Ovis aries: one gene and its partners. The protein of the gene in region 1 interacts with the protein of each later gene in a pairwise test. Links are inferred from orthologs where the notes say so. Each region holds a gene or a part of one and is shown in the gene's direction. Other genes may lie near its edges.

Region 1 (3,938 bases):
GTAATTAACCTCCAATTAAAGTAAATAAATTTATATTCAAAAAAGTTTCAGCATGCTCTATTTATAGGGAAGTGAGCCCTCCTTCTTCCACGAACAAAAATGGTGGGGGAGAGACGAATTAGAAAATGACTTTATGAAAAGAGATGGTGGAAAAGTTTATTTTAAAATATCCAAAGTACTTAAACTGCATTTTGAAATGCATTTGTAAGAGAAGCATGGGCAGTGTTGGTGATACCCGGGGGGTTTAACTCTGCTTTATCAGAAGAGGAACAGCAATTGCACTTGGAGAAACAGACTGCATATCCTAAATGACGGAGATACGGGGAGGGCGGAGCAACTGTCGTTGCCTGATTCCTAGCCTGTTCCTTCTTCCACATGTTTTTCTAATTCCTTCACAAACTGATTACGTGGCTTTAGTTGTAAAATTCAGCCCCCTCCCAGAAGGCCCCTATAGATAGGGACTGGGGAAGGAGGAACGGACGGAAGAAAACCAGTCAGTCCCGCTGTGACTGTCCAGTGGAGGCGCGTTGCTGTGCGGCGATACCGCCGCGGAGCCGCTTTATTTGTTCATCAATGAGCATCTACTGCATCCCCTAGATACAGGTCAAGCCCACTGGAAATCGCAGCCACCCATCACAAGCAGTCTTCACTGTATTTCCAGAGCGGGAGCGCCGCCGATCTCTACGCACCGAGTGCGTGTGCCGGTAGGAGAGGGAACAGCTGAGCCTCAGGACGCGGGTGGAGTCAGCTCTGCGCTCCTGAGGCGCTCCCGGCGCTCTCCAGTCCTCGCTGCGCGCCTCCTCGCCCCATCTCCCCGCCGTCTCGGACTCCGGCTGCTCGGTTACGGTGCCCTTCCCGCTCTTCTAGACTCGCGCCTCCGCAGAAGACAGACGGCTCCTTGCACCTGGGCGCCACAGCTGAGCTTGCCTAACGGCCGGAGGGTGCCGGCTGGGAGGAGAAAGCGCGCGCACCTTCCTTGCTCTCCTCCCGGCGGCTCCGCCTCCCGCCAGTTCGGCGCATCGACGTCCGATGCGGCCCAATGGCGACTCTCAGCCGCTGCGGGCCCCGCCCCTCAAGGCACACCCACCAATGAGCGCTTGGCAGGGGCAGAACGCGTCCTGTGCCCGCCTCCCCGTCCAGGCCGCCGGAGCAAGCCGACCTGGGCGGAACCGAGGTACGGCCGCTCGACCGGCCCGGAGGCTCGGCACCACTTCAGCCCGCGGCCGGGCGGGCGGCGACGGCCCAGAGAGGGCGCCAGACACCGGCCGTAGCTGAGGCGGGCGGGCGGCGGGAGAGCAGGACGGCGGGGACGTGCGTCCAGCGCACGGAGCCCTGAGCCTGGCGGGGCCCGTACGAAGTCCGCGCTATGGAAGAGAAGTACTTGCCTGAGCTGATGGCAGAGAGAGACAGCCTGGACCCGTCCTTCGTGCACGCCTCGCGCCTGCTGGCCGAAGGTAGGACTTGCCCCCGGGTGGGCGCAGACCGCCGGCCCCTGTCGCCGCGGCGGGGCTCGGGGAGCGGAGTACGGGAGGACGCCTGTCTCCTTCGCGGAAACTGCCCTGGACGATGCTCGCCCAGAGCCGCGGCGGAGCTGGTCCTTGGGAGGCGGGTGCTACTTTCTCACTCCATTCGCGGCTGAATCCGGGTAGCCCGGAGCGGCGGGCGCTGGCTGTGAAGACAGTGCCCTTTAGGATCACTGATGGAGCGACGTTAAGGAGCTGCGTGGTCCACCGGGATGTTTTAACTCCGCCAAGGGAAGGGAAGTCAGTCTGGAGTGAATGGTGATCAACGTGGTGTTTGATGAGCTTCTTCTTATCTACAAATCAGTCCCCCCCCCCTTTCCCTTTTTCTTTCCCTTTTCCCCCTTTCTTTTCTCTTATTTTCTCTCCCTTCTGATTGAGAAGTGATTTTGATTTTCTTAGTCTAATTACAGTCTTTCCTATGGAAAGACTTAGTATTAACCTAGATTAAATTATGCGTGTTCTGTTTGTGCATGTGGAAGTGGCTGAAATGCATATCAGTTTATTTGAAGTGTGATGATTGTGTGCTCTGGGAGATGCTGGTCCCTGGGAACCCTCCACAATTGATCAACTGTTGTACCAAGTGTGCAGTGTATGTGTGTGTGTGCAGTGTGTGTGTGTGTGTGTGTGTGTGTGTGTGTGTACTTTAATGTTGAAAGAGATTTAATTCCCAGGGGAATATAAATATCTTTTCTTTTGTGTTCTTTTGAAGGGTTGTTTAAACACACACACACAGGAACTTCTGTATGATAGAAATATCTGTAGCAATCTACATTTACCTTTATAAAAACTAAAGACTTTCGTTTTTTTTTTTTGTGGGGGGGTGAATGTCTCAATAATGAGTTGCTTCATCATCAAATTGACTACAATGCAGTTTTGTTCCTTAGGTTCTTAGGAACTTACCTACAGCAAAACTAAAAGTAATAACTTTCTTCCCCTTAGCCCTTCAGCATCAAAAGAAATGTTTTCTTTTGTGAGATTTAGTTTTACATGGAAGGAGAAATTCTAATCCTCCATGTATGAATTAAATAGGCATTATACTTATTTAAATGTTTTATTGATGGATTGTTATTTGCAACAATAAAGTATCAGATATTTTTCTATTTTGTATATTAAGTAATTAAGTAATTAAAAACAACAATTGAAATATTGAACATGTGAAACAAGTAAACTACTTTTCAGGGGACAAGTTGATTTTGTAGAGGATTTGGAATGGAAAATGCAGTCATGCTTGCTACTTCTTGGTTACTAAATAAAAAAATGCAACCTAAAATTGTAAATGAAAGTTAAAAAATTAACCTCTAATCTAATCTATTAAAAATAAATAAACTACATAAAATAATAGGAACATTGAAAATTAATGGATTAACAAATATTCAAAATGATTAAAAATGTCATTGTGTTCCTAAATCATCTATTTCAATGCATTTTCCAGAAATGTCTTCATTTAGCTGATAAAGTCTTTAAAATAGAAAAAGTTACAAATTAATCATTTTCTCAGACCTGCTAATTGGACTTCTTTTGGGGACAGTAGGCTAGATGATTAATTCATAAGTTATTAATGAGAGTTAGTGTACTGAAAACTGCCAGACTAAAGCAATGCATGTGAGGAGCTCTAAACAGAGTATAGAAGTATTTCTCTGTGGTAAAACAGCCAGAAAAGTCTGTGAACCTGGTTCCTTAAAATTTTCTTAACATTTTATTTTTCTCAGAAATTTGGTTTCTTGATACTTAGGAACATGTTCCTATGTACTTTGTAATTTAATATTTTCCCAGTAGGGGGAAGCATGTTCTGCCTTTGTAATGAATTAGAAGTAAAAAGTGCCTAAATAGAAAAATGTCTAAGGAAGAAACAAAGATAGGTGTCCACATTTCAGAGGAATCATAAGGAGGAGGAGGAGGAGGGGAGTAATGATAATAATCTTGAGTATATAAAGAGACTCTTTGCAGCTGGCTGAAAGATCCACAAGATCTAAATTCTGTAATTGTACCCAAGCCTCTTCATGTTCTCATTGAACAGTGTCCTTCTGAATAAACCTTAACATACATTTTACATTACAGATCTTTCGTTGTTTTTTCAAAGGCCATCTACCTAGATTCTTAGGTCTTATTTCGAATCTCTATAGGAGAGTGTTGTTGAGATAATTTTATTTTTCACCCCTGGAAATGTACTGATTGAAGGCAGTGGCTATAAATACACCTGACATAGATGTTCGTTAGGAAAGAAGGTGTTCCATGAAGTACATTTCAGCCAGCACTGTGCAGAATGTCTCAAGACTGAGTGTGTAATAAAAATGATCCAGATGATTCAGTTCTTTGAAATGGTTTTTTGGAAGGTAATATATACAAGGTCAGTGATGTAAGCCACTGAGCATTCATAATGATTTGTTTTGCTGTTTTGATTGGTGGTAGATGCAA
Region 2 (4,281 bases), on another chromosome or scaffold:
GGACTTCCAGGAGTATGTGGTGCTGGTGGCTGCCCTCACAGTGGCGTGCAACAACTTCTTCTGGGAGAACAGTTGAGGAGCCGGCCCCAGCAGGCAGCGCCCTACCCCTCTACCCTGCCATGCCTGCTCCTTCAACCTGCTTCCTCCTCACCTTACTTTTCCCTCCCCACCAACAAGGGCGCAAGAATAGTGGGCCAGGCCTGCAATTCTTCTTTCATTAAAGGCTTCTGTCTCACCAGCCACCAGTTGCTGTCTGTCTCCTTTGCTAACAGCACAGAGTAGGTGGACAGTATAGAGTAGGTGGGGAAATGAAGGCTGCTCACTCACAACTTGCCTTATTTGAGGAGAGATCTTTTTGGAGATAGGTCAAGGGACCCTTGCATCTTCCTATTTAAGGAATGCTGAAGGCCCAGGAAGGCTGGGATTCAAGGTTCCAGCCAGAAGTGGAGGATGTATGAAGCTAATACGTGCACCAGGGTCTCAGCTATAAAGGCAGAATTTCCCTTCAACCTTCAAAGAATATTTACTGAAGACCTACCACGTGCTAGACATCGTATGGGAGCTGGGGACACAGCAGTGAACCTAACAACACACAACCCTCAGCGTCACATAGGTAAAGCCCAGTAAGGATACCAAAACATTAAACTCACAAATATATGCTAAGAAGGAAAATGAAAGGATCTGAGGCGCCTATACTGGGGGCAGGGGTGAAGATGTGTTCATTCGCTCATTCTTCAAACATTCGAGCCCTTTATTGTGTGTCAAAGCATAATAAAAATCCCGTATAGGTCTGCATCAAAATCCACATGAATGGAAAACGGCGAGAGTGGACACGGAAACGGGAGGGGAGACGCAAAGGCCCCACAAAATAAGGATTTAACAATATTCAGGCCAAGCTGGGGAGGGAAGTGAAGAGGAAATTATGGACGGACGGTGGTGAGTGGCGCTGAACCCAGCAGAGGTGTGCTCTGATCACTGGCTCCCCTGCCTCCGCTGGGGCTTTTGCTATAGCCTACAATTCTCGGACCCGGGCCCGGGGTGAATAAGGGGAGTGCAACTACCCGAGTGCAAACTACCCGAGCCCAGTGGTCCGCAAGAGAGATCGAGGCACATCCGCCTGAAGAATTTTAGTTGTTCTGTCTTAGTTCAGGGGCAGAAGGACGCGCGAGAAAATACGGACAATTCTTTCACGGAGACCAAATCAGCCCAAGAGACGCGAATCACTTAATCATCCGCAGCCCGTTAAAACTCAAGAGCGAAACCATTTGGCCACGCCCTTCCCCGGGCGGGGCGCTGCGTGTAATACAGACGAGGCCTTCGCTAAAGTCCCGCCTTCTTCCTAGGGCTCCGCCCTAATCCCCGCCCAGGCGTGGCACAAGTTTTCCCGCCCCTCTAGGGATGCGGCGGATCTGACGTCTGACGTAACTGCGTCGACGCCATTTTAGCCGGTCCCATTCCGCCCTGGGCGTGGCGGCCATTTTGTTTTCCACACCGAGCGGGAGTTGACGGCAGCGGCTGTAGTGAAAGGAAGGAAAGAGCAGGCCGGGTGAGCAGGCGGACCGGCCGACCGGACAACCAGCCAGCAGCAACGAACTAACTTAACAATCTACCGCTTAACACATCTAACCAACCGCCCACCAAGTTAACCCGAGCCCCTCCACCGTCAACTCAGGTTCGGCCGGCCCCCGGCCCGCCTGCCGCAGCCGTGGTGGCAGCCCCGGGAGGAGCACTGGCGTCCGTTTCCTTCGGTACGTGTCTGTGGTGAGGAGGGCGAGAGTTTGGGGGAGCCGAGGGGCCCGGCAGACGCGGAGCAGGAGCTGGTGGGATGTGGAAGCAAATAGGGAGTCGGAGGCCCCGAAGGGGGCGGAGCCCGTGAGAGGGAGGCGGGGGAGACCCCGCACGGAAAATCGTCGCGGGATTGACGGAAAGGGTGGAATTTGATAGGGATGAGAAAGGAACGTTGGCGAGTTGAGTTACGTTGGCGGTTCTGACAGAGGTTTGAGATGAAAGGAGGATTACTCGACTTCAAGGAGCGTTGGAAAGTAATGGCGGCTTTAGGGTTAAATTTTGTGGCGCGCTCTCTGGGAGCGCACTCCCAGGGGAATGCTCGTGGAGGAAATCTTTCCTATTCCCTCCCTCCCCCAGGTCGCCAGGCCCTTGCTGATGCCCCTAACTTGATTGCGAAATTGGTATACCTGTGTCATCTCTCTAGTTCAGTAGTTCTCAGTTTTAGCTGCACGTGGGAAGCAGCGAGGTAGACGTATTTTCCCTTGCTATATAAATGGCTCATCCCCAGACTTCACCATCAGAGACTGTGCTTGAAATGGTGTGGGCTCAGGCTTCTGAGTGCTTTCTGTTTTGTTTATTTAAAGCTCCTTGCCGCCAAGGTTGAGAAGGACCGCTGTTGATGAAAAACCAGACTCTTAACAACACTTGCTTTGGGTCTGCCATTTTGGAGGCTTGGGCAGATATTTTCTGTCCTGCGGCCTTGAAACATACGGTGTGTGTGTTCAGTCGTGTCCTACTCTTGGCGACCCCATAGACTGTAGCCCTCCAGGCTCCTCTGTCCATGGAATTTTTCAGCCATGAATACTGGAGAGGGTTGCCATTTTTCTACTCCAGATTTTCCATACCTTGGGATAGAACCCGAGTCTCCTGCATTGGTAGGCGAATTCTGTACTACTGCACCATCTGGGAAGCCCCAGGAGTTTATTAGTTTGAAGTAACTAGCTTCTGTTTAAGTGCCTGAAATGAGTTTTGGTGTGATTGTTGATAGTCATCGATACAAACCTTTTCATTCATTTTGGGGTCTTTGGGTCTTGTTGAAAGGAGATAGTCGCCATTCTGGTTTGCTCATTCTGCCCATTGTCCTTTGTAGATTCTCGGGATTTGAAGATGGCTGCACAGTCTGCGCCGAAAGTTGTGCTAAAAAGCACCACCAAGATGTCTCTAAATGAGCGGTGAGGCAGCCAACAGCAACTTCAGCTCGTTCATAAGAAAACATTACTTAAATTGGCGCTGGGGTCCAATGCACAAAAGTCTGTTTTAAACTAAATACCAACAGAAGGCTACAGACCTCTGTTCTTAGTTGCATCGTATGTGGTACACAAAACAAATTGGGCGGTTGTTTCAAAACCCCTTATCATTAGATTTTTATATTATGCTATCTGAAATATTTATCTGGTGGGATGTATTTTAAAAAGACTCCTCACACCCTCCCTTTTCTTCACATATTTTTACGTTGATACAGGGGTGGTGCAGCTCAGTAGCATGACCCTGGCTGCAGTAGGCTTGCTGCCCAGTCCAAGGCCAGCAGTGTTGTGTCTGGCCTGTAAGAGGCAGGTAGCAAGCTAAGAATATGTCCAAAGGCCCTTGAATGTCATTCTTGGGCCTTGTAAGAGGCACTTGCTTTGCTCCATTTCACTTTCTCTCCACTCTGCTTTAGTTTGTTTTTGTTTTCAATTCTTTTACAGTTGAGTGTTCTCTTTCATCCCATTAAACTTAACTTGACAGGAGTAATAGAAGAGTGTCTTCACAAGCTCTTAGATGATTGAACTAACCTTTTCAGAAGTTATCGTTTGGAGTCAGAAAAAAGAATCATTTGATACTAAAAGAAAGTTACAGTATTTAAAGGCACTTTCTGTCTGAGAGCTTTGTTCATTGAGTGCCTTTGACTAGTGACTTTATTAAGCTGATATTAGACCACTGAATGATTTACTTATGTTTGTTTGTCTTTTCTGAAGCATATTTACTTCTCTTTATCTCTTAGGGTGTGTTACTCTGATTCTCCATATTTGCATATTACTAAGTGGAAATGGCAACCCACTCCAGTGTTCTTGCCTGGAGAATCCCAGGGACAGGGGAGCCTGGTGGGCTGCCGTCTATGGGGTCGCACAGAGTCGGACACGACTGAAGCGACTTAGTAGCAGCAGCAGCAGCAAGTGACCAAATACATGAGAAAATGTGATATGCTCTTACAATTTATGTGGGTATATCATTTCCATGGGCTTTGAAGGTGCTCTTGTCCTTCCGTGTATTTGCCCGTAAAATAGCACCCTCAGGTCTCCTGAGGTTTTGGCTTGCATTGTCCGTCTTTGAAACTACATCTTCTGTCTCTTGTCATCATATCTGCTTATTGCGTGTTTTTCATGCTTTCCACCTCTAAAAGCCGTTACCTGAGCCCTTGTTATCACTTTTGATTGAATGTGCTACACTTAGCTGCATTTCTGAGTTTCTGATTCTTGCAAGTTTGTGGAAGCAGAGGAGTCTTGAACCCACATC
Region 3 (4,288 bases), on another chromosome or scaffold:
GCTTATTAGTTTTAGGTTATTTTTGTGTGTGTGGGTCAGTTCTTTGGGAGTTTCTAAGTAACTATGTCACCTGTGAACAAAAGCAATTTTCTTTCTTTTTTTTTTGATGATAAATCTTTCTTATTTTTTAAATTTTACTTTACAATACTGTATTGGTTTTGCCATACATTGACATGAATCCACCACGGGTGTACATGCGTTCCCAAACATGAACCCCCCTCCCACCTCCCTCCCCATAAGATCTCTCTGGGTCATCACCATGCACCAGCCCCAAGCATGCTGTATCCTGCATTGGACATAGACTGGCGATTCGATTCTTACATGATAGTATACATGTTTCAATGCCATTCTCCCAAATCATCCCACCCTCTCCCTCTGAGTCCGAGCAATTTTCTTTCTTTCTTTTGGTTGCAGTTGTTTTTACATGTCTATTACTCTCTGAAGTCTTTTCATCTCATTGTCATCTCTTTTATGCTCAGATTTTTATTTGACCATAGGTTAAATTATCATTGCACTAAATAATTTAGCTAGAAATAAACTGCTTCTAAGTTAATGCTCTTTTTTCAAGTACTGCTACTCCATGGTAAGTATGGAAAACGTAGGTAAAATGTGCCTCAATGTCTTTGCCCCCTAAAGAAGATGGTGTATCTACCTTTGATGTAAGCACCAAATTAAGACTGCCGCAATGACACCCCACTCCAGTACTCTTGCCTGGGAAATCCCATGGACGGAGGAGCCTGGTAGGTTACAGTCCATGGGGTCGCTAAGAGTCGGACACGACTGAGCGACTTCACTTTCACCTTTCACTTTCATGCACTGGAGAAGGAAATGGCAACTCACTCCAGTGTTCTTGCCTGGAGAATCCCAAGGACAGAGGAGCCTGGTGGGCTGCCGTCTATGGGGTCGCACAGAGTCGGACATGACTGACGCGACTTGGCAGCAGCAGCATACCTTATGTTCTTAGGACAGTTCCTAATAGTTTTTCAGTTTTTGATTAGGATACAGGTATTACTTTTGTGCACTACGACACATAACCTTCAACAACCAGCAAACTTAGATCAAATAGACAAAGAGTAATAAAAACCAAAGAGAAATGTTGTAGCGCCAAGAAGGCAGGAGTCCGGGAGGGTTAGTGGGAGGAATGTTTAACAGCCTGTGAGTGTGGTGGAAGTCTAAGGCTGGCCAGGAAATCGCCGAACGACAGGTTCTCAGGACTCTGTGTTGGAGATGATGGGAACCAAGTGAGCATGTGCGGAGGTGAACAACACTAGGCGGGTGGCACAGGGCCGAAGTGCAGGAGCTGTGGGGAGAGAAGAGCAGGTGGGCTAGAGCGGCAGGAGGTGAGAGCCGCCCCCCGCCCTGTTACCATGGGGACCGGGTCACCTGACCGGGCGCCGCACGCCTGCGCGGGCGGAAGGCGGGGGCGGCGCGGTGACGCGCGGCGCGGGCGGTCCTCGGGAGCGCGCCGCCCTCCTCCCTTTGGGTTTCAGAAGTCCGAGCCAGTGACCGGCGGCGGAGAGCGGGTCTCAGCGGTCTCGGTGAGCAGCCCTGGGGGGCACCGGGGGACGCTCGCGCGGCGTCCTGGGCGCGGGGACGAGGAGCGGGAAACCTGGGGGACTCGGGGCCGCTGGGCGGAGGGCATTTCGGCGGCGGCCTTTCCTCAGTGGGCTCCGCTCCGTGCCCCTCGGGGCGCCCAGCCGGCCCGGGGGCGTAAGTTTGCGCGACGGCGCCCCTCTGCCCGCCCGCGGCCTTGCGGGATTCGGGGTCCCCGTCCGGAGAGAGGGGCGGGGAGGGAGCCTGAGGCCCGGCCGGGGACGATGCAGGCAGCCCCCCGTCCGCCGCGACTCTTTTTGTTCGTGTTGGGTGGGCCCGCGGCCGGTGCGGGGGCACCCTCCGGCTCTGGTCCCGGTGCCGCGATCCCTGTGTGCGGAGTCGCCCTCGGGGGCGGCGGCGGCGGCGGCCGCGTCCGAACGTCCGGAGTTGGAGGGAGGTGTTCGGCAGGCGCAGCCTTGACTTTCTGGAAGGGGGTGGGGAGGCTGCTCGCGGCGCTAGTTTGTGAAGTTGGAGGAAAGGGAGAAGAGCTCCCGGCTGGGTGAGCGCGGCAGGAAATGTTCCTAGAGGGCTGGCCTTTCAGAGCCTTCCGAGCTTTCCTTGCAGGATTTCCCTATAATCACGGGAAGGCGGAAACTTACAGCTACGGAAAGTTTCCCCTTTCACCAAAACGGGCTTATTTCATCGTGGAGTCTTGCATGATGCCGATTTTAAAAAGAAATGTCTAGGTTTATCTAGTCTGTGTTGTGTATGTGGTCCGCACACCCATTTACTGTTATTTTTAATATCATGTACATTTACTGTTATTTTAAATATCGTGTGCACTTCCTAGGAAGTAGGTTTGGTTTACCAAACTCATAACATCCAGTGTTTCGAGGAAAAAAAGTCCTGGCTAAAAAGGAAAATTACAGGGAAGAAGAGCCACAGGCTGGTTAGCTGTATCTCAAATGTATATAAATGGTCAGTTTTAAGTTTGTCTGTTCCTTTAAGTTTTTCTGTTTTAGGTTGAGGGCAAACAGTAAAAATGTGTGTTTTCATTTGCTGTGTTATCAACTTAATTCTACAAACTTTTATTCTTTAAATGGTATGTAAACATTATAAATCAGATTGTGCTACAGAATTAAAATAAGGGAATGTCTTTTAATAGGTTCAGGAAATAGTCATCCTGCTATAGAACATATTTAACTTTGGCAGCATTAATTTTTCGTTATGTTTGGGCATTTTAAGAAAGGATGTGAAAATCGTGACTAAAAGAGGAAGCATTTACTAATAGTCGGCGGTTGAACCTACTTTTCAATAAACAGTTCCCTAAATTGAGCATGACTCAACTATATTTTTTCCTGTTTTTGCCGGATTTAGGTACTTTTAGATAGCAAATGCCAAAAGTCTCTTTTAGATAGCAAATGCCAAAAGTCTCTAAAAAGATTCCCACCCCTGCAACTGTTATATGTAGTAATAGATATATTCACAATTATTAATGTTTCCAAGTGCTGCCAAGATTTTTTTTGTGTATTTATTTAGGCTTTGAGGAAGTAATCAGTTAACGTGACTCAACATTTAAGTAAAGAAAAACAGGGTACGTAGTGTGTACTGTTCCCTTCCTTCAAGGTCCTCTAGCCAGCCAAATTCTCTTACTGTAGGAAACAGCTGTTTTGCATTTCTTAGGTATCTTTATAGGGATATTTTATACCTTACAAATATATATTTCCCCCCTTCTGTTACTTCTCTTTTTTTAATTGCGATAAAGGACACAACTTGGTGACTAAACAGCAGGCATCACAAGTGCATGTAACATTACCATCTTAACCATTTTAAAGTGTACAGTTCAGAGGTATTAAATATACTGACGTTGTCATGCAACCATCACCACTGTCCATTCCCTCAGCTCTTTTCGTCTTGTTCTCATTAAACAGTAATGCCCCATTCTGTCCTCCTCCCAGCCCCTGGCAACCATTTTGGTACTTTGTGTCTCTCATGATTTTGACTAGTGCAGCAACCTCATGTAAGTGGGATCAGGGTGTTTGTCTTTTTTATATTTGGTTTATTTCACTTAGTGTAATGTTTTCAAAGTTCATTCATGTTATATATTGCAGAATCTCCTTCCATTTTAAGGCAGGGTAAAATTCCGTTGTGTATGTGTGCGCGGGCATACATTTATACACACAGTTATACCACATTTTGCTATCCATTCATCTGTTGATGGACACTTAGGTTGCTTCCAAGGTTGAACTAATTTGAGGGGGTCTTCTATACTGTTTTTATAACACCTGTGCCCAGGGGATGCAGTAGTAAAGAGTCTGCCTGCCAGTGCAGGAGACCTGGGTTCCATCCCTGGGTCGGAAGATCCCCTGGAGTAAGGAAGGGCAACCCACCCCAGTATTCTGGCCTGGAGAATCCTATGGACAGAGGAGCCTGGTGGGCTACAGTCCATGGGTTGCAAAGAGTCAGACACGACCGAGCAGCTGAACACGCACATGTGAACACACACCATTTTACATTCCTACAAACAGCAAATTAAGAGTTCTAAATTTTCCACATCCTCACCAAAACTTGTTTGGTTTTTTTGGGTAGTTGTCACTCTTGTGGATGTGAGGTGTATCTCATAGTTTTGATTTGCATTTCTGTAATGATTAGTCCATGGGAAATAAATGGAGAAACAATGGAAACAGTGTCAGACTTTATTTTGGGGGCTCCAAAAATCACTGCAGATGGTGACTGCAGCCATGAAATTAAAAGA
Region 4 (4,145 bases), on another chromosome or scaffold:
AAGTTTCTAAGGACAAGCTGGCTCTCTTTTAGGGGCTAATGCAACTGGTAACTTTAAGAAAGAAGACAATGCTCATTGAGCATTCTGAAAAATCCCAGGGCTCTTAGGAATTAGGGTAAATCTATTCTAACTGTCCTCTGTAAGGGGGCTTCCCTGGTGCCTCAGACAGTAAAGAATCTGCCTACAGTGCAAGTGACTTGGGTTCAACGCATAGGTTGAGAAGATCCCCTGAAGAAGGTAATGACAACCCACTCCAGTATTCTTGACTGGAGAATCCCATGGCAAGCTAGTCCATCAGATTGCAAAGAATCAGACACAACTGAGAGACTAGTAACACTTTCACTTTTTCACCATACTGTATCCCAAAAGTTAACAGATCTACTCTGTATTTGGGGTGCTGATCCTTAACAGGCTGGACGAGTCCATTCTATGGATGACATATTTCAAGTCTCTGAGGGTAACTAACCCATTCTTCTTTGATGGGGAGCTCAGAAACAAAAATTCTGTCAAATCCATTCATTGTAAAGGTAGCTCAGACACTCAGAAGGCGGACAAGAACAAATTGTGGGCAGTGGGCTCAGACACTCTGTCCCTTACTTATTGTGAAAGTCCTCTGCGTGGATCAAGGGTTCAGCAACTCTGAGTGACAGCAGAAATCATTCTGTTGGATCAGGATTTACTCCTTTTGAAGACTGAAGCATCCTCTTTTGTAGAAGGCACCTCAGGTGGTCTGTTGGTGGGGAATTCGAGAAACTGGCTTCAGGAAGTTGTCAGTTAAGGATAAGGGCTGAGGTTATAAATGAGAAGAAACGATGCCAGGGGAGTTGCATAACAGGTGGCTAAGATGTTGGGCAGAGGAGGAAATGCAGGGATCGGGGTCAGGGGCTAAGAAACGAAGGAATGTCTGATGTTAAGGACTGTGAATGGTGATGCCGTCAGGGTCAGTAGGGAGATAAAACATCGGGCCCTGGAGGGGGTATGAGCTCGGAGGACTAGAAGGTGAAAGGGGGCAGTAATTATGTCCTCTAGGAACCTAGAGAAAGACGTCAGAATCAATGAGGGAAATGACATCAAGGGTGATAAGGGTGATGTCAGAGACGGAAACGGGTGTGAGAGCATAAGAGATGAAGATGGCTGGGCAGATGTGATGTTAGGTTGCATCATCACAAACCACTCCTTTTCCGGAATCGTGCTCAGCTCCTCCCTCCCTTCAAGCTGTTGTCCCTTCCTCCCGCCCCGCCTTACTGACCTTAGCCAATGAGCGTGCACGGCGGCACGCATGGCGGAAGTTCCGTGACGTAGCCACTCTGTACCCTTTATTAGCGTCTTGCCGCGCGGCAATCTCCCCAGTCTCGGCTCCTTCGTGGTGGATCTCTTTTGAGTTATTGTTAGTTTGCAGGTAAGTAGCATATATTTTTGCGGAGCGGCTGTTCCTCGTCTCACTGACGTTTGATGCGCCGGTTGAGAGCGAGGTGCGCGAGTGAGAAGTAACGGCCTCTGACACATAGGCTTGGTCTTCACTGGATCGGGTGGGTTCCGTGCTTGGAGGTGACACTTTTTGGTTGGTGCGAGGCTGGCGCGCTATATTTGAGTGCAGGAAATGCCGGGAATGGCTGGCGGCGTGGGTGGCAGCCGTGATCGTGCGACGGCGAAGGCGGATGGGGGGAGGGGGCTCATTTTGCATGTGACCGCCGCCATCTTGTTCAGGGTTCTTTTGGGCATGCGCAGGTGTACAAAATGACGGGCGTCGGGTAGGGGATATTGTGTGGGCACCGGCTCCGGAGGTTTCTGTCTTTTTGGTCTTTGTCTGTGCTTGGTTACCCCGTATTTTTTTTTTTTTGCTTGTTTTGTCTCCTCTGTTCTCTCTTCCTTCATCCTTTCTCACTTCTCCAGCCTCTTTCTCCCATCTCTACAGTTTCTCCTATTCTCCATATCCTCAACACAGGACTTGAATTTACTGCCATGTCTTCTGAAGAAGGGAAGCTCTTCGTGGGAGGGCTCAACTTCAACACTGATGAGCGAGCTCTGGAAGACCACTTCAGCAGCTTCGGACCTATTTCTGAGGGTGAGAAATGGGCCAGGTGCGTGATGGGGGGATTGTGGAAGAAAGTCTGGGTCCCATGCATTTCAGGAAACAGGAGAGAAAGGTTAGAACCCCAGGCCTTACCCTTTTCCTGCCTTTGTTCCTAGGCCTTAGACTGAAGAACCCAATAAGTTTCCATTGAGTTTTAGTGGAATAAAGATTCATTCTTAACACCGTTTACTACTTGTCCTCTTAGCTCTTTCCCCTGTCTTTTCCAGTGGTGGTCGTCAAGGACCGGGAGACTCAGCGATCCCGGGGTTTTGGCTTCATCACCTTCACCAATCCGGAGCATGCCTCAAATGCCATGAGAGCCATGAATGGAGAGGTGAGGTCTCCTGCCTGCATAGGGGCCCTGCGTCCATCTGTCACTTGGACCATTCTGTTTTTCCCTCTGTGTCTGCTTGGGGCAGCGCGGCCACCAAGCCCCGCAGTGCCCACTCACAGGAGCGTGACTGCCTTCTGTTCTAGGGGGTGGAGGGCAGCGGCAGACAGAGCCGGGCTGCCTGGGAGGCGACGACTGGTCCTGCATGAGGCCGAGAAGCCACCTGTGGATGGTTGACCTGCTCTGGGCTTAGGTAGTAGAGTCTGCAGACCTGCGGGCCTGGCCCGGAGAGGACCTCGTGAGTCTTCTGGGATGGACTCTGAAGCCTCAGACCAAGAGAGGTGTCTGTCTAGCCCTAATAGTCGGGCAGCTTAGAGGAGTGGGGAGGAGAATTCAACCTGAGTTCGGTCAAGATGTAAGTAGTAGCAGGGGAAACATGGTGGATTCAGGTAATTCTGTGGGATTCTGTAGCTCCAGATAAAACCATTTGGGTCAACGGAGCTTGTTCTGGAATATGGCACCCAGAACCTGGTGCCCAGCAGGAATTTCTGGGCTCTTTCGCCCACTTGCCCAGCCCACTCCTACCTCACCCCTGCCCTGTTTGACCACCAACCCATCCATCCTTGTGTCTCCCCACACCTAGTCTCTGGATGGTCGTCAGATCCGTGTAGACCACGCTGGCAAGTCAGCCCGGGGATCACGAGGGGGTGCCTTTGGGAGCTATGAACGTGGTCGTGGCTACCCTAGAGGTAAGTTACTTGGTAAGTTTGATCATGGGGTGCGGAGGAGAGTTGCCTATTAGCATTCTATGTCTAGACAATTGCCATTCAGAATATTTTTTCCCTATTGTAGGTGGTGGGGACCAGGGCTATGGAAGTGGCAGGTACGACAATCGACCTGGAGCATATGGATTTGGATACGGATATGGATATGGAAGGTCCAGAGACTATGGTGGCAGGTGGGTAGCCAAGGGGTTAGGGTATGCTGGTGCTTCTTCCCTCTCGCTAAGAACTCATCTTAGGGATTTATCTGGTGATCCGGTGGCTAAGACTCTGTACTCCCGATGTAGGGGGACCTGGGATCAATCCCTGGTCAGGGCACTAGACTCAACATGCCACACCACGTGCCACAACAAAGATTGAAAATGCTGTGTGTAGCAACTAAGACCCAGCACAGGGAAATGAATGAATAAACTTAAAAAAAAATTTTTTTTAACTCAGTTTTTTTGCTCAAAAATATAAAAAGCTCAGTTGCCTGAGTATTCATACATACCTTGCTGTGGTGCTAATAGTGTTTGCAAATTGTAATGAAGTTATAAAGCAAGTAGGAAGCAATATTCTGGGTTAAGTATAACATTGGTAAATAATTTGTTAGGTCATGTAATTGCAATGTGCGGTAGATGGTGACATGTTTATTGTACTGTCTTGATTATGTATGGTGGTAATATTTAATATGGTATATTATACACCATATGAGTGAGTTTTACTTGATACTCGTGTTTAACTTACCATGGTGTTTAGTAATACTGCAGAATATATAATACATTCCTGTGATACTACTATGTATGTTTTTTTCCCAGAAGCCAGGGTGGTTATGACCGCTACTCAGGGGGAAATTACAGGGACAATTATGACAACTGAGATAAGGTATGCACACCTAACGTAAGTGAGGCTTCTATGTTGCCATTTAAGAGACCTCTGTCCACCAGTCTTCCCTGTTCCTCTCACTTTCTTCCTGTAT
Region 5 (2,559 bases), about 26 Mb from region 1:
TGTCCCTTCTCTAGCCTATCTTAGTGGGAACACAGGTGTGCTTACCTTGGTAATAGTTGAGTTAAGGACTTAAAATTGTGTATTTCTGGTGTATATATTGTACTTCAATAAAATGTTTTTAAAACAAAATCAGGGTTGCATTATCTGTATTAAGCTGGCCATTGATGATCTTCCCGTGTCTCTCTCTGTCTCTGTCTGTCTCTTCAGCTTTTCACAGAGGTCCTCCGGGATCAAGGGGACCAATGATCCCACCACTGCTGAGTCTCCCACCTCCTCCCCGGGGCAGAGGCCCAATTCGGGGAGGCCTAGGCCCCAGGTCTGGCCCATATGGTCGTGGTTGGTGGGGGGTCAATGCCGAGCCTCCTTTCCCTGGACCAGGCCACGGGGGTCCTTCCAGGGGAGGCTTTCACAAAGAACAGAGAAATCCTCGAAGGCTCAAAAGCTGGTCTCTTATCAAGAATACCTGCCCACCCAAGGATGGACCCCAGGTTATGGAAGGTGAGGTCCATTTTTTTATGCCTGCACACATTTAATACCCATCACTCCCAGAGCGACCTCATGCCTAGAATACCCATGGCTCTTGTGCTTTGGGTTGTCCTTTGTCCTTTTGGAGTAGGAGTAGCCCTGAATGTTTTTTCTCCCTCGAGAAAGTCTGTCATTCCATAATACCTGGAAATGGTAGCAAGTAGGAAATCTGACCTTCTCTCTCTCTGCTTTTTGTTAGATTTGTTTGTTCTTACATTTTAAACTGCCCGATTTTTGCTTGTTCACAGACAAATCTGACCGCCCCGTCTGCCGACACTTCGCCAAAAAGGGCCACTGTCGATACGAGGACCTCTGTGCCTTCTACCACCCGGGCGTCAACGGGCCCCCGCTGTGAGGCCGCCTCCCCACCCAGACTGGAAGGGGCCCCCGGCCTGGCGGCCACGTTCTCCCCTGCGGCCCTGTGCTGGCCACCGTGAGGCTGTTCCTCGCGCCACCCCCAGTCAGTGACGCCCACCCCCCTCACCGCCCCCTCCCACTGGGGGCCCAGAGTTGTGTTCCATGACTGGTGTGCGGTGTGCACTCTTCTGATCCAGCCTCCAGAGACATCTCCAGGACCGTCCCTGCTCCATTCAGCTGCCTCCTGGGTCCTCCTCCCCCTCGCCGGCTGACTGCGGAACAGGAAACCTCTTTGGTGCTGTTTCTTGTGCATCTGTCCACCCAGCCCCCGGTATCGCCCTGGATTCCTGAGAGCCCTGGAGCAGTTTCCTACCATCCCCTCCTCGCTGCTTGTTTTTAAGTCCTTTTCGTGTGACACCCCTGCCCCAGCGTGGTCGGCGGCCCTGTGACGCCCGTCCGGTTGGCTGACCTGGGGTCAAGTGTGGATGACTGGTGCAGAGTCACTTCCCGAGAGGCCACACTCCCCGCTCTTGGATCTGGTAGTTCCTGCGTCAGTAGCATGATCCCCACCGCTGTGGTCTGTGCTCACTGTGCTTTGTGAAACTCTGCATCCCCCTGCCCCTCACCCCCATAGCCTTTCTCAGTGTCCGTGGCATTTTCGTGACCTCCCAACACTAGAGTAAGTTTTTCTGCCAAAATGTGTGGGGCCGTTGGTGCCGCCTAGACTTTCCCCACCCCCCGACGAGGAAGAACTGTGAAACTCCACAAGACCGCCTCCCTGGTCGTCTCATCCTCCCCATGTCGGTTCCTCGGGATTGACACAGGCCCGAGAGATGTCATCTGAAGGCTCAGATGGGCCTCTCCTCTCTCCAGCCCATCTTAGACTGCATCATCGTGAGGCCACCAGCCGTTTCATTTGAATTCTGTGAATCTCCACCTGGCCAGTGGGTGGAACTCGGACAGTACTGTCGCCCTCTTCCAGCCTTCTTCCCCTGCATCCCTGGCACTGGTTGTTTTCTGTGAAAACGGCAGTGAACAGGTTCAGTTTTGAACTGGCCCTGAGGAAATGGGTCAGGAGTTGTGTGGGCAAGAGGGAGGGATGAGAGCTGTTGGAGAACTGAGAATGAATTTTTTTTTTTACATTTTTTTATATTAGTAATAAATGCAGTGGAAACAAGCATTTTCTTTAATCCCTGTGTTGCGGCCATCTCTTGAAGTGCAGAGGAGGCTGGGAGTCAGTGTATGCTTCACTTAGAATGTTGACATGTTTTTCCCAGTCTGAAGAAACCAGCGGGGCCCCTTACCCTGTGGAGATCAACCGGACCAGCTGCATTATATTCAAGGGCTAAGTTTTGTTGGAGAAAGGAACGACCTGTCCATGGAGTCATTTTTAAACATTTTACCTGTGTTTATGGTTATAGAGTGGAGGTGGCAAAGCAGTCTTTGAGCAAATACTGGTAGAGTGCCTGTGGGCCAGGCAGCATACAAGACACTATAGCAATAACAGAGAGCCAAAATCAATGAACTTAAAATCTACAAGAGGAGACATGTTCGTCAAGTCACAAATATGTGTAATGTACCTGTCTAAAGTGCTGTGAAGAAGCGAGACATGGGGGAATACGTAATAACGATTCTGGGGAGGTGACAGCTGAGACAAGCTTTGAGGACAAGCAGAAG
Region 6 (4,104 bases), on another chromosome or scaffold:
ACGGACTCAATGTATACGAGTCTGAGCAAACTCGGGGAGATGGTGGAGAGGGAAGCCTGGCTGTGTTGTAGTCCACGGGGTACACAAACAGTTGGACATGGCTTAGCTACTAAACAGTAAAATCATTTGCATAAATTTCACACCCCACGCTGCAGAAGTTGGGTTGTCCATGACGTTCAGCCCAGTACCGAATGCATAGGTTTTCAACAGCTAATTTTTGGCTGATAGTTTCCGGGAAATTTAAATTATCCTTGAAGTGTATCTGGAAATCTTTCAGGCCACTGCTTGGCTTCCTTCTCGCCTGGAGAGGGACAGGGCATTGGAGATGGGGAAAGAAGGGCCGTGGGATGAGTGAGGTTCGGACTAAAGCGAGGAACAGGGGACAAACCAGTAGGGGTGGAGGGTGAGAAATGTTTAAGAAAAAAGGGATTTAGCCTCCTTTGGGAATTAGCTCTTTTCCTTGCACGGTTCCTTTGGCTTCGTAGATGCATACACCTGCCCAATGTTCTTTTGTGAATATGAATTAGCTCCAAACCCCACGCAGAAAGGTCTCAGCTCTGTCATTTGTAGCTAACATGACTCTTAAGTAAATGCCCACTTGAGCGATTTCCCTCACATCCTGAGCTGCTCCCAACCATGTGTGGAAGAGAGCCAAGGAGGGAGTTTTCTGAGTGCTCCAAGGGATGATTTTTCTCCGCGAAGAAATTCTCCAGCAAAACAGACGAGCCAAACCCCTACAGCGTGCTCTAACTGGAGCCCAGAAAACGACCTAGAAGAGGCCCGGCCGCGTGGCGGTGGGCGTGTCCGGGGTGAACGCGGCGGCGGCGGCTGCCCCTGGGAGGCGGATTACCGGCGTTAACACGCCGGTGAAGGGGCGGGAAGGCCCGAGGGCCCGCGGCCGATGGAGCCGATGCGAGCCGTAGGGGGCGGGGTTCCGGGGGCGGCCTCGCGCGGGCGGCAGACGAGAAGGGACGGGAGAGGGGGCGGGCCTCGGCCACTTTGGGCCTGCGGCCCCACAGCCTCGCCTACCACTCGCGGCTTCGCCACAGACCCCTTTGTGTTCCTGCCCCCGCCCCGGAGGCGCCCCAGCCGGCGGCGCTGAGTTCCCTCATTGGCTCAGCCGACGGCTTCCGCGATTGGCTTCTGAGCCGTCCGGCGTGGGGCGCCTCTTCTCTCTGCTATTGGTTGTCTGGGCTGTTCGTCAGGCCGCCGCGCGAGGTGATTGCCCGGCAGCTCAGAGTCCCTGGAAGCAGTTCCGGGAAACCCCGCGTGCTGCCGGGATCGCGTCTCGGTCCGTGACGGGGGGGGGAGGGGGTGGTGCGCGCGCCATTTCTAGTCGTTTTCAAAGCGCCTCGCGCTGGTTCTCACGGGCCCGGCCACCGGCCCCAGCTCTGCCCTGGTGAGTCTCGCGCCGGCCCGCGGGGGGAGGGGCCGGGAGCCCCGATCCGACCCTACCGGGCCAGGCCGGGGCTCGGCGCCTGCTCCCCAGTTTCGTCTTCGCTCCGAGGCCCCCAGGGTGGGGGTGGGGATGGGCTGGGGGCGGCTTCGGCCTCGTCCGGCTGCTCAGCGGAGGGCCTAGCCGCCGCCGAGGCGCTTCCTCGCCCTCGCTCATCCTCCCCGCTCTCCCCGCCACCCGCCGCCTCCCCTCCAAGCCCAGGCCCGCGGTCCGGCCCGCCGGGCGCCCTCCGCGCGGCCTGCCGGGTCCGCCGCGCTTTTCCCGCCTCCGCCCGCCGCTCCACGCGGCCGAGTCGGCCGCTTTCAGTCCCCGCTTTAGATAGACCCCGTCGCCTCTCCCTGCCGGAGCCCCGCCTTGCTCCCCGTCTCAGCCGGCCTAGCCGCCCGTGGGGTTTGTTGATGGTCAGGACCGGCATGGGCCGGGGTGGGCCGAGGGCGGGATGCCAACCCGGGTGAGCCGAGCCGGGAGAAAACTTTTGTGTGAAGCAGAGGCCGAGAGGCCAGTGTGTGTAGGAAAAGGCCTCCGTTTCCCCTCCCCAGCCGCCCCCCTCCCCCAGTTCTGCATGCTGCAAGTCGAGATTTGAAGGAAAAAATGACTACTAGAGGCCATGAAACTTAGGCTTCGAGCGGCGCCTGAGATACCGAAGTCTAAATGCCATAGGCGCACTCTTGGAAAGGCGATTCTCTTTTCCTTCTGCGATAGAAACCGTATTGCCAAAATTTTAAGACTCGAAGAAGCCACGGGGATCTTGAAGGGTTCAGCCCCTTCCACACTACCTGTTTCAGATTTTTTGCTGTCCTCCGGAGTCTAAATTTATGTCTCATGAGTCAGTCGTAGGATAAGGGCTTGACACTCCTAAGCCATGAGAGAACCGTTAGTTTTCATTTCATTGGATCCTTAAAAGCCGGTCTCTTAAAATGAGAATTATTTTCACGAGATGTTCAGAAAAAAAAAAAAAAAAAAAAGGAAGGGGCTAGTGCCAGATTTCCCAAATTTCCCAGCGACCCTGATTTTAATTTCTCCTTTTTGCAAAAAAAAGTTTAGATCAAATAACATCAATCATATTAATATATTTGCTGCATCCAGAAATATGGTTTGGCTGTGTGGCATTGAATTGACACAAGAGTTTTAAATGGTCATATGACATGAAAGTCTTTTTTTAATATGAGCGCATTATATTTGGTTTGAAGAGAGCTTTTTCCTTGATCTGGAAGGTGTTATTTTCTGGACTCTCTTAATAGTTGTACTTTTTTGTTAAAGTTTACAGACATTTTTTGAAAATTTCAACCAATTTAAAAATCAACTTGTAGAGAGCCTTTGCAGTGAATGATAGTCATAAATATTTGTCTTGTGCTTAATACACAACTTGTCTTTTTGCTTTACACATAACTTTAAAAATACCACCTTAACAGATTTTCATTGAACTTTTCTGTTAAAAATTTGCTTTCTTTCCGTGATTGATAGTATTCCCAGGTGCAATACCGCAAGGGTCTTGTGATACTGAGAACTTTTGAGTTCTAATGATCTATCTTATGGTCGTATTTGAGGGTGGGTGAGCATGGAAAACAACTATACGTTCCCAAAAATATTTTGGACTTGAAGGCTTCTTTATAGAAGTAGGTTGTACTAATCAGTAAACTATTCATCTTACACTATAAGTAGTTTCTTTATCAAAAGTGTCAGTTTTGAATGTTTTTGTTTTTGCCAGTTCATCAGAGTTTGAGTTTTGCCTTGAGAAACATTTATCCACCCAGAGATTAACCACGGAGTCTGCCTCTATATAGACATTAGTGGGTTACTAAGTCTTAATGTTTTGTAATCATAAGAAGTTATAATACTGTTTATCTCATTTTCAGAGTAACAGTTTGTGCCTTTTCCTCTCTTCCTGCTTTCTGTTACCTCCTCAGTCTTCCTTTTTCATTAACTTCAACGAAATATCAGGGGGCTTTGAAGTTGTTTTAAGTCAGAAAAACTGCACCTGGTGTATTTGCACAGGGTTTTGATAAGCAGTCTGGAAGTGTGGTTATCTTAGGTATGGATTTTAGTGCTTTTTAGGAAACTTGTATTTTCTTTACAGCTGTCTAGGTATCTTCAGTTTCATCAGGAAAAGTAGGCTTTTCCTTGAAATCCACCTTCATGTCTTTTATTTCAGTATTTGTTGCAATGTCTTTATTCTGCTGCTTATTATCTTCATCACATTATAATTTCACCACAGACAAATGCACTTTAATTCCCTATCTTTTGCGGAGCTAGTATAGAGACTGGCCTTGTATGGTTTTATTATTTAATCTCTCTTCAGGGAGTTGATCCATTTCAGCATTACATAAAAGTTGAACACCCAAAATGATTTGGGTAGGTAAATCTGAGACATCTGACCTAAGTTTAAAAAGAAGCAACCTTAACTACAGCTCACTTTTTATTTTATGTGGACTTAAAACAATCATTTAGCTTTTAAACCTGGTCATTTTTTCTTTTAAATCTGTGAATGGGAATAGCAAATTAATTTTAGAACAAAAATTAATGTCAAGCTGTGTTTTTTAAGTTAGGTGGAGAAAACCCAAACCAGCAGCATGTTGAACTAGAGACAACAGGGCATTTATTTCACACCTATGTTGTTTTGAAGCAGAGCTAGTAAAGTTTGAAAGTCC
Region 7 (3,500 bases), on another chromosome or scaffold:
GTGAAAAGATACTTGACATCCTTAGATAGCAGAGAAATGCAAATCAAAACCACAATGAGATAGCACTTCATACCTACTAGGATGGCTTTAATACATTTTTTTTTTTTTAATGTTGTTGAAGTGTAGAGGAACTAGAACCCTCATACATTGCTGGTAGGAATGCAAAGTAATATGACTGCTGTGAAGAAGACAGAAGCAGAAGATATTAAGAAGGGGTGGCAAGAATACACGGAAGAACTGTACAAAAAAGATGTTCACGACCCAGATAATCATGATGATGTGGAGGTGATGGAATTTGTATGAGATTGTGCCATACACAAAGCTAGTGGAGGTGATGGAATTCCTGTTGAGCTGTTTCAAATCCTGAAAGATGATGCTGTGAAAGTGCTGCACTCAATATGCCAGCAAATTTGGAAAACTCAGCAGTGGCCACAGGACTAGAAAAGGTCAGTTTTCATTCCAATCCCAAAGAAAGGCAATGCCAAAGAATGCTCAAACTACCGCACAATTGCACTCATCTCACATGCTAGTAAAGTAGTGCTCAAAATTCTCCAAGCCAGGCTTCAGCAATATGTGAACTGTGAACTCCCTAATGTTCAAGCTGGTTTTAGAAGAGGCAGAGGAACCAGAGATCAAATTGCCAACATCCGCTGGATCATGGAAAAAGCAAGAGAGTTCCAGAAAAACATCTATTTCTGCTTTATTGACTATGTCAAAGCCTTTGACTGTGTGGATCACAAGAAACTGTGGAAAATTCGGAAAGAGATGGGAATATCAGACCACCTGACCTGCCCCTTGAGAAACCTGTATGCCGGTCAGGAAGCAACAGTTAGAACTGGACATGGAACAACAGACTGGTTTCAAATAGGAAAAGGAGTACGTCAGGGCTGTATATTGTCACCTTGCTTATTTAACTTATATGCAGAGTACATCATGAGAAACGCTGGACTGGAAGAAATGCAAGCTGGAATCAAGATTGCTGGGAGAAATATCAATAACCTCAGATATGCAGATGACACCACCCTTATGGCAGAAAGTGAAGAGGAGCTAAAAGCCTCTTGATGAAAGTGAAAGAGAGCGAAAAAGTTGGCTTAAAGCTCAACATTTAGAAAACGAAGATTATGGCATCTGGCCCCATCACTTCATGGGGAATAGATGGGGAAACAGTGGAAACAGTGGCAGACTTTATCTTTTTGGGCTCCAAAATCACTGCAGATGGTGACTGCAGCCATGAAATTAAAAGACGCTTACTCCTTGGAAGAAAAGTTATGACCAACCTAGATAGTATATTCAAAAGCAGAGACATTACTTTGCCAACTAAGGTCCGTCTAGTTGCTATGGTTTTTTCTGTGGTCATGTATGGATGTGAGAGTTGGACTGTGAAGAAGGCTGAGCACTGAAGAATTGATGCTTTTGAACTGTGGTGTTGGAGAAGACTCTTGAGAGTCCCATGGACTGCAAGGGGATCCAACCAGTTCATTCTGAAGGAGATCAACCCTGGGATTTCTTTGGAAGGAATGATGCTAAAGCTGAAACTCCAGTACTTTGGCCACCTCATGCAAAGAGTTGACTCATTGGAAAAGACTCTGATGCTGGGAGGGATTGGAGGCAGGAGGAGAAGGGGATGACAGAGGATGAGATGGCTGGATGGCATCACTGACTCGATGGCTGTGAGTCTGAGTGAACTCCGGGAGATGGTGATGGACAGGGAGGCCTGGCGTGCTGCGATTCATGGGGTTGCAAAGAGTCGGACACGACTGAGCGACTGAACTGAACTGATGACTGCTGTGAAAAAGTTTGGCGGTCCTCAGAAAATTAAATGGAGTAGAATTAATGATTCACCAGCTCCACTCTTGAATATATATCCAAAAGAATTAAAAAGAAGAACTTACATAGATGGGTGTGACTGTACATAGCAATACTATTCACAGTAGCCAAAAGGTAGACACCACTCAAATGTAGACACCATCAATAGATGGATTAAAAAGTATGATATATCCATTCAGTATATTATTCAGCCATAAAAAGAAAGGTCATTTTTATACTTGCTAAGCCTTGATAGACCTTAAGAAATATGCTACATGAAATAAATATTAAGCTACATTGTCACAAAAGACAAATACATGTTTTCACTTACATGAAATATTTAGAAAAGGCAAATTCATAGTAAGATTAGAAGTTACAGAGATCGGGGGTGAGTTTCTGTTCAGACTGTTAAGGATGATGAAAATTATTTTATATATGTGTATTTTTTTATTCTTTGTTTTAACCGCAATTTTTAAAAAGCACAAGGAAGGAGGCTTGGGGTAGGGCCTAGAATGGTTCCTCAAATATCAGTAATTACTACCAGTTATTTTGTGTGTACTTTGGGCCAGGGAGCTTCCATTATGCTGAGAGTGTTCTGTACGTCTTCCCAGTCCTTTTGGAAGGTGGGTTAACTCAGTCCCAGCCACAGAGCTGATAAGCAGTGAGTCCCAGATACTAATTTTGTTTGCCTAATCCCAAAGTTCTGTGCCTTACTGTGTCTTCCTCACAGATGGCTGGGTCTTGAAGAGTTCTCTGTATTTGATTTTTGCAGGAGAAAACCTTTAACTTTGTGCACGTTTCTTTACCTTTTCAGAAGAGAAGGCTCTTACGACCGATACCTGCGAATGGATGACTACTGCAGGAGGAAAGATGACGCTTACTTTGACCGTTACAGAGATAGTTTTGATGGACGAGGCCCACCAGGCCCCGAAAGTCAGTCTCGTGCAAAAGGTAAAGTAGAAGAAACAGTTTATTCTTATCACAAATAGAACACTTTATAAAAGAAAGAGGAAACTAATAACCAGCTGGAAAGGAGCTAATGACTTGGCTAAGCAGTTCACAAAAAGAAGAAATACAAATGGCCTGTTCATTTGTAGAGAGCATTCAGCTTGAAAATCATTTTTTAAATGCAAAGTAGTACTGTCATCTGGTTTAGTCACCCAACAAGAAGAAATAAATATGAAATACTATCAGTAAGAAAAGAAATGAACTAAACATTGGAGCTGAAGAGGTTAAATGTTTGTTTTTTGCTCATTGACCAAATAAATATAACTATCTTTATTACCTATGTAGTATGTGGGGAGAGTTGTTTTATTTATAATTTTTACCTAAGAGCATCTATTTTTTAGATAAAGACATGTTTTTTAAAGCCTTGATTTTCTCAATATATTTAATACATCTTTAAGATTTTTTAATTGTTTTCTTCCTGGTCAAATTAATAACCTCATTTGTAGTTTGCCGCAGAACTTTACTGCCTGGTTTTGTTTAGGATTTTTTTGTTGATTTTTTTTAACTGCCTGATTTTTTTTTTTTTTTTTTTTTTAGCAAATTACAATTACCTGTCAATAAGAGTCTTAAATGGTTGTCCCAAAAATGAAAATTAGGATAATAATGATATACTATCTTTTGCCTATCAATTGGCAGGAGGTTTTTTTTTTTTTTTAATGACAAAACTCAGCGTTGATTAAGATATG

What was found.
Region 2: the proteins of KHDRBS2 (region 1) and CHTOP interact in binary tests that used the Homo sapiens proteins (3 or more experiments, as listed by UniProt). The two-hybrid records come from large-scale screens. The link is inferred for Ovis aries from reciprocal best matches to the Homo sapiens genes KHDRBS2 and CHTOP.
Region 3: the proteins of KHDRBS2 (region 1) and SDCBP interact in binary tests that used the Homo sapiens proteins (3 or more experiments, as listed by UniProt). The two-hybrid records come from large-scale screens. The link is inferred for Ovis aries from reciprocal best matches to the Homo sapiens genes KHDRBS2 and SDCBP.
Region 4: the proteins of KHDRBS2 (region 1) and RBM3 interact in binary tests that used the Homo sapiens proteins (3 or more experiments, as listed by UniProt). The link is inferred for Ovis aries from reciprocal best matches to the Homo sapiens genes KHDRBS2 and RBM3.
Region 5: the proteins of KHDRBS2 (region 1) and PRR3 interact in binary tests that used the Homo sapiens proteins (3 or more experiments, as listed by UniProt). The two-hybrid records come from large-scale screens. The link is inferred for Ovis aries from reciprocal best matches to the Homo sapiens genes KHDRBS2 and PRR3.
Region 6: the proteins of KHDRBS2 (region 1) and HNRNPR interact in binary tests that used the Homo sapiens proteins (3 or more experiments, as listed by UniProt). The link is inferred for Ovis aries from reciprocal best matches to the Homo sapiens genes KHDRBS2 and HNRNPR.
Region 7: the proteins of KHDRBS2 (region 1) and NCOA5 interact in a two-hybrid assay, tested with the Homo sapiens proteins (2 studies listed by BioGRID). The two-hybrid records come from large-scale screens. The link is inferred for Ovis aries from reciprocal best matches to the Homo sapiens genes KHDRBS2 and NCOA5.

Annotation. Positions count from the first base shown.
Region 1 is NC_056073.1:1,048,985-1,052,922, reverse strand, and holds the start of KHDRBS2 (KH domain-containing, RNA-binding, signal transduction-associated protein 2), read left to right. Parts: upstream 1-1,138; 5' UTR 1,139-1,366; coding exon 1,367-1,454; intron 1,455-3,938. UniProt on the Homo sapiens protein: RNA-binding protein that plays a role in the regulation of alternative splicing and influences mRNA splice site selection and exon inclusion. Binds both poly(A) and poly(U) homopolymers. Phosphorylation by PTK6 inhibits its RNA-binding ability.
Region 2 is NC_056054.1:104,074,167-104,078,447, forward strand, and holds the start of CHTOP (chromatin target of PRMT1 protein), read left to right. Parts: upstream 1-1,481; 5' UTR 1,482-1,748; intron 1,749-2,878; 5' UTR 2,879-2,895; coding exon 2,896-2,960; intron 2,961-4,281. Other genes in the region: S100A1 (protein S100-A1), read left to right, coding at 1-76. UniProt on the Homo sapiens protein: Plays an important role in the ligand-dependent activation of estrogen receptor target genes. May play a role in the silencing of fetal globin genes.
Region 3 is NC_056062.1:37,717,727-37,722,014, forward strand, and holds the start of SDCBP (syntenin-1), read left to right. Parts: upstream 1-1,488; 5' UTR 1,489-1,710; intron 1,711-4,288. UniProt on the Homo sapiens protein: Multifunctional adapter protein involved in diverse array of functions including trafficking of transmembrane proteins, neuro and immunomodulation, exosome biogenesis, and tumorigenesis.
Region 4 is NC_056080.1:56,479,868-56,484,012, reverse strand, and holds the start of RBM3 (RNA-binding protein 3), read left to right. Parts: upstream 1-1,345; 5' UTR 1,346-1,399; intron 1,400-1,893; 5' UTR 1,894-1,962; coding exon 1,963-2,065; exon of another isoform or gene 2,066-2,301; coding exon 2,302-2,408; exon of another isoform or gene 2,409-3,048; coding exon 3,049-3,154; exon of another isoform or gene 3,155-3,257; coding exon 3,258-3,547; 3' UTR 3,548-3,984; coding exon of another isoform or gene 3,985-4,045; 3' UTR 4,046-4,145. UniProt on the Homo sapiens protein: Cold-inducible mRNA binding protein that enhances global protein synthesis at both physiological and mild hypothermic temperatures. Reduces the relative abundance of microRNAs, when overexpressed.
Region 5 is NC_056073.1:27,530,346-27,532,904, reverse strand, and holds the end of PRR3 (proline-rich protein 3), read left to right. Parts: intron 1-207; coding exon 208-498; intron 499-773; coding exon 774-880; 3' UTR 881-2,059; downstream 2,060-2,559.
Region 6 is NC_056055.1:243,236,580-243,240,683, forward strand, and holds the start of HNRNPR (heterogeneous nuclear ribonucleoprotein R), read left to right. Parts: upstream 1-1,304; 5' UTR 1,305-1,399; intron 1,400-4,104. UniProt on the Homo sapiens protein: Component of ribonucleosomes, which are complexes of at least 20 other different heterogeneous nuclear ribonucleoproteins (hnRNP). hnRNP play an important role in processing of precursor mRNA in the nucleus.
Region 7 is NC_056066.1:74,782,507-74,786,006, reverse strand, and holds part of NCOA5 (nuclear receptor coactivator 5), read left to right. Parts: intron 1-2,620; coding exon 2,621-2,757; intron 2,758-3,500. UniProt on the Homo sapiens protein: Nuclear receptor coregulator that can have both coactivator and corepressor functions.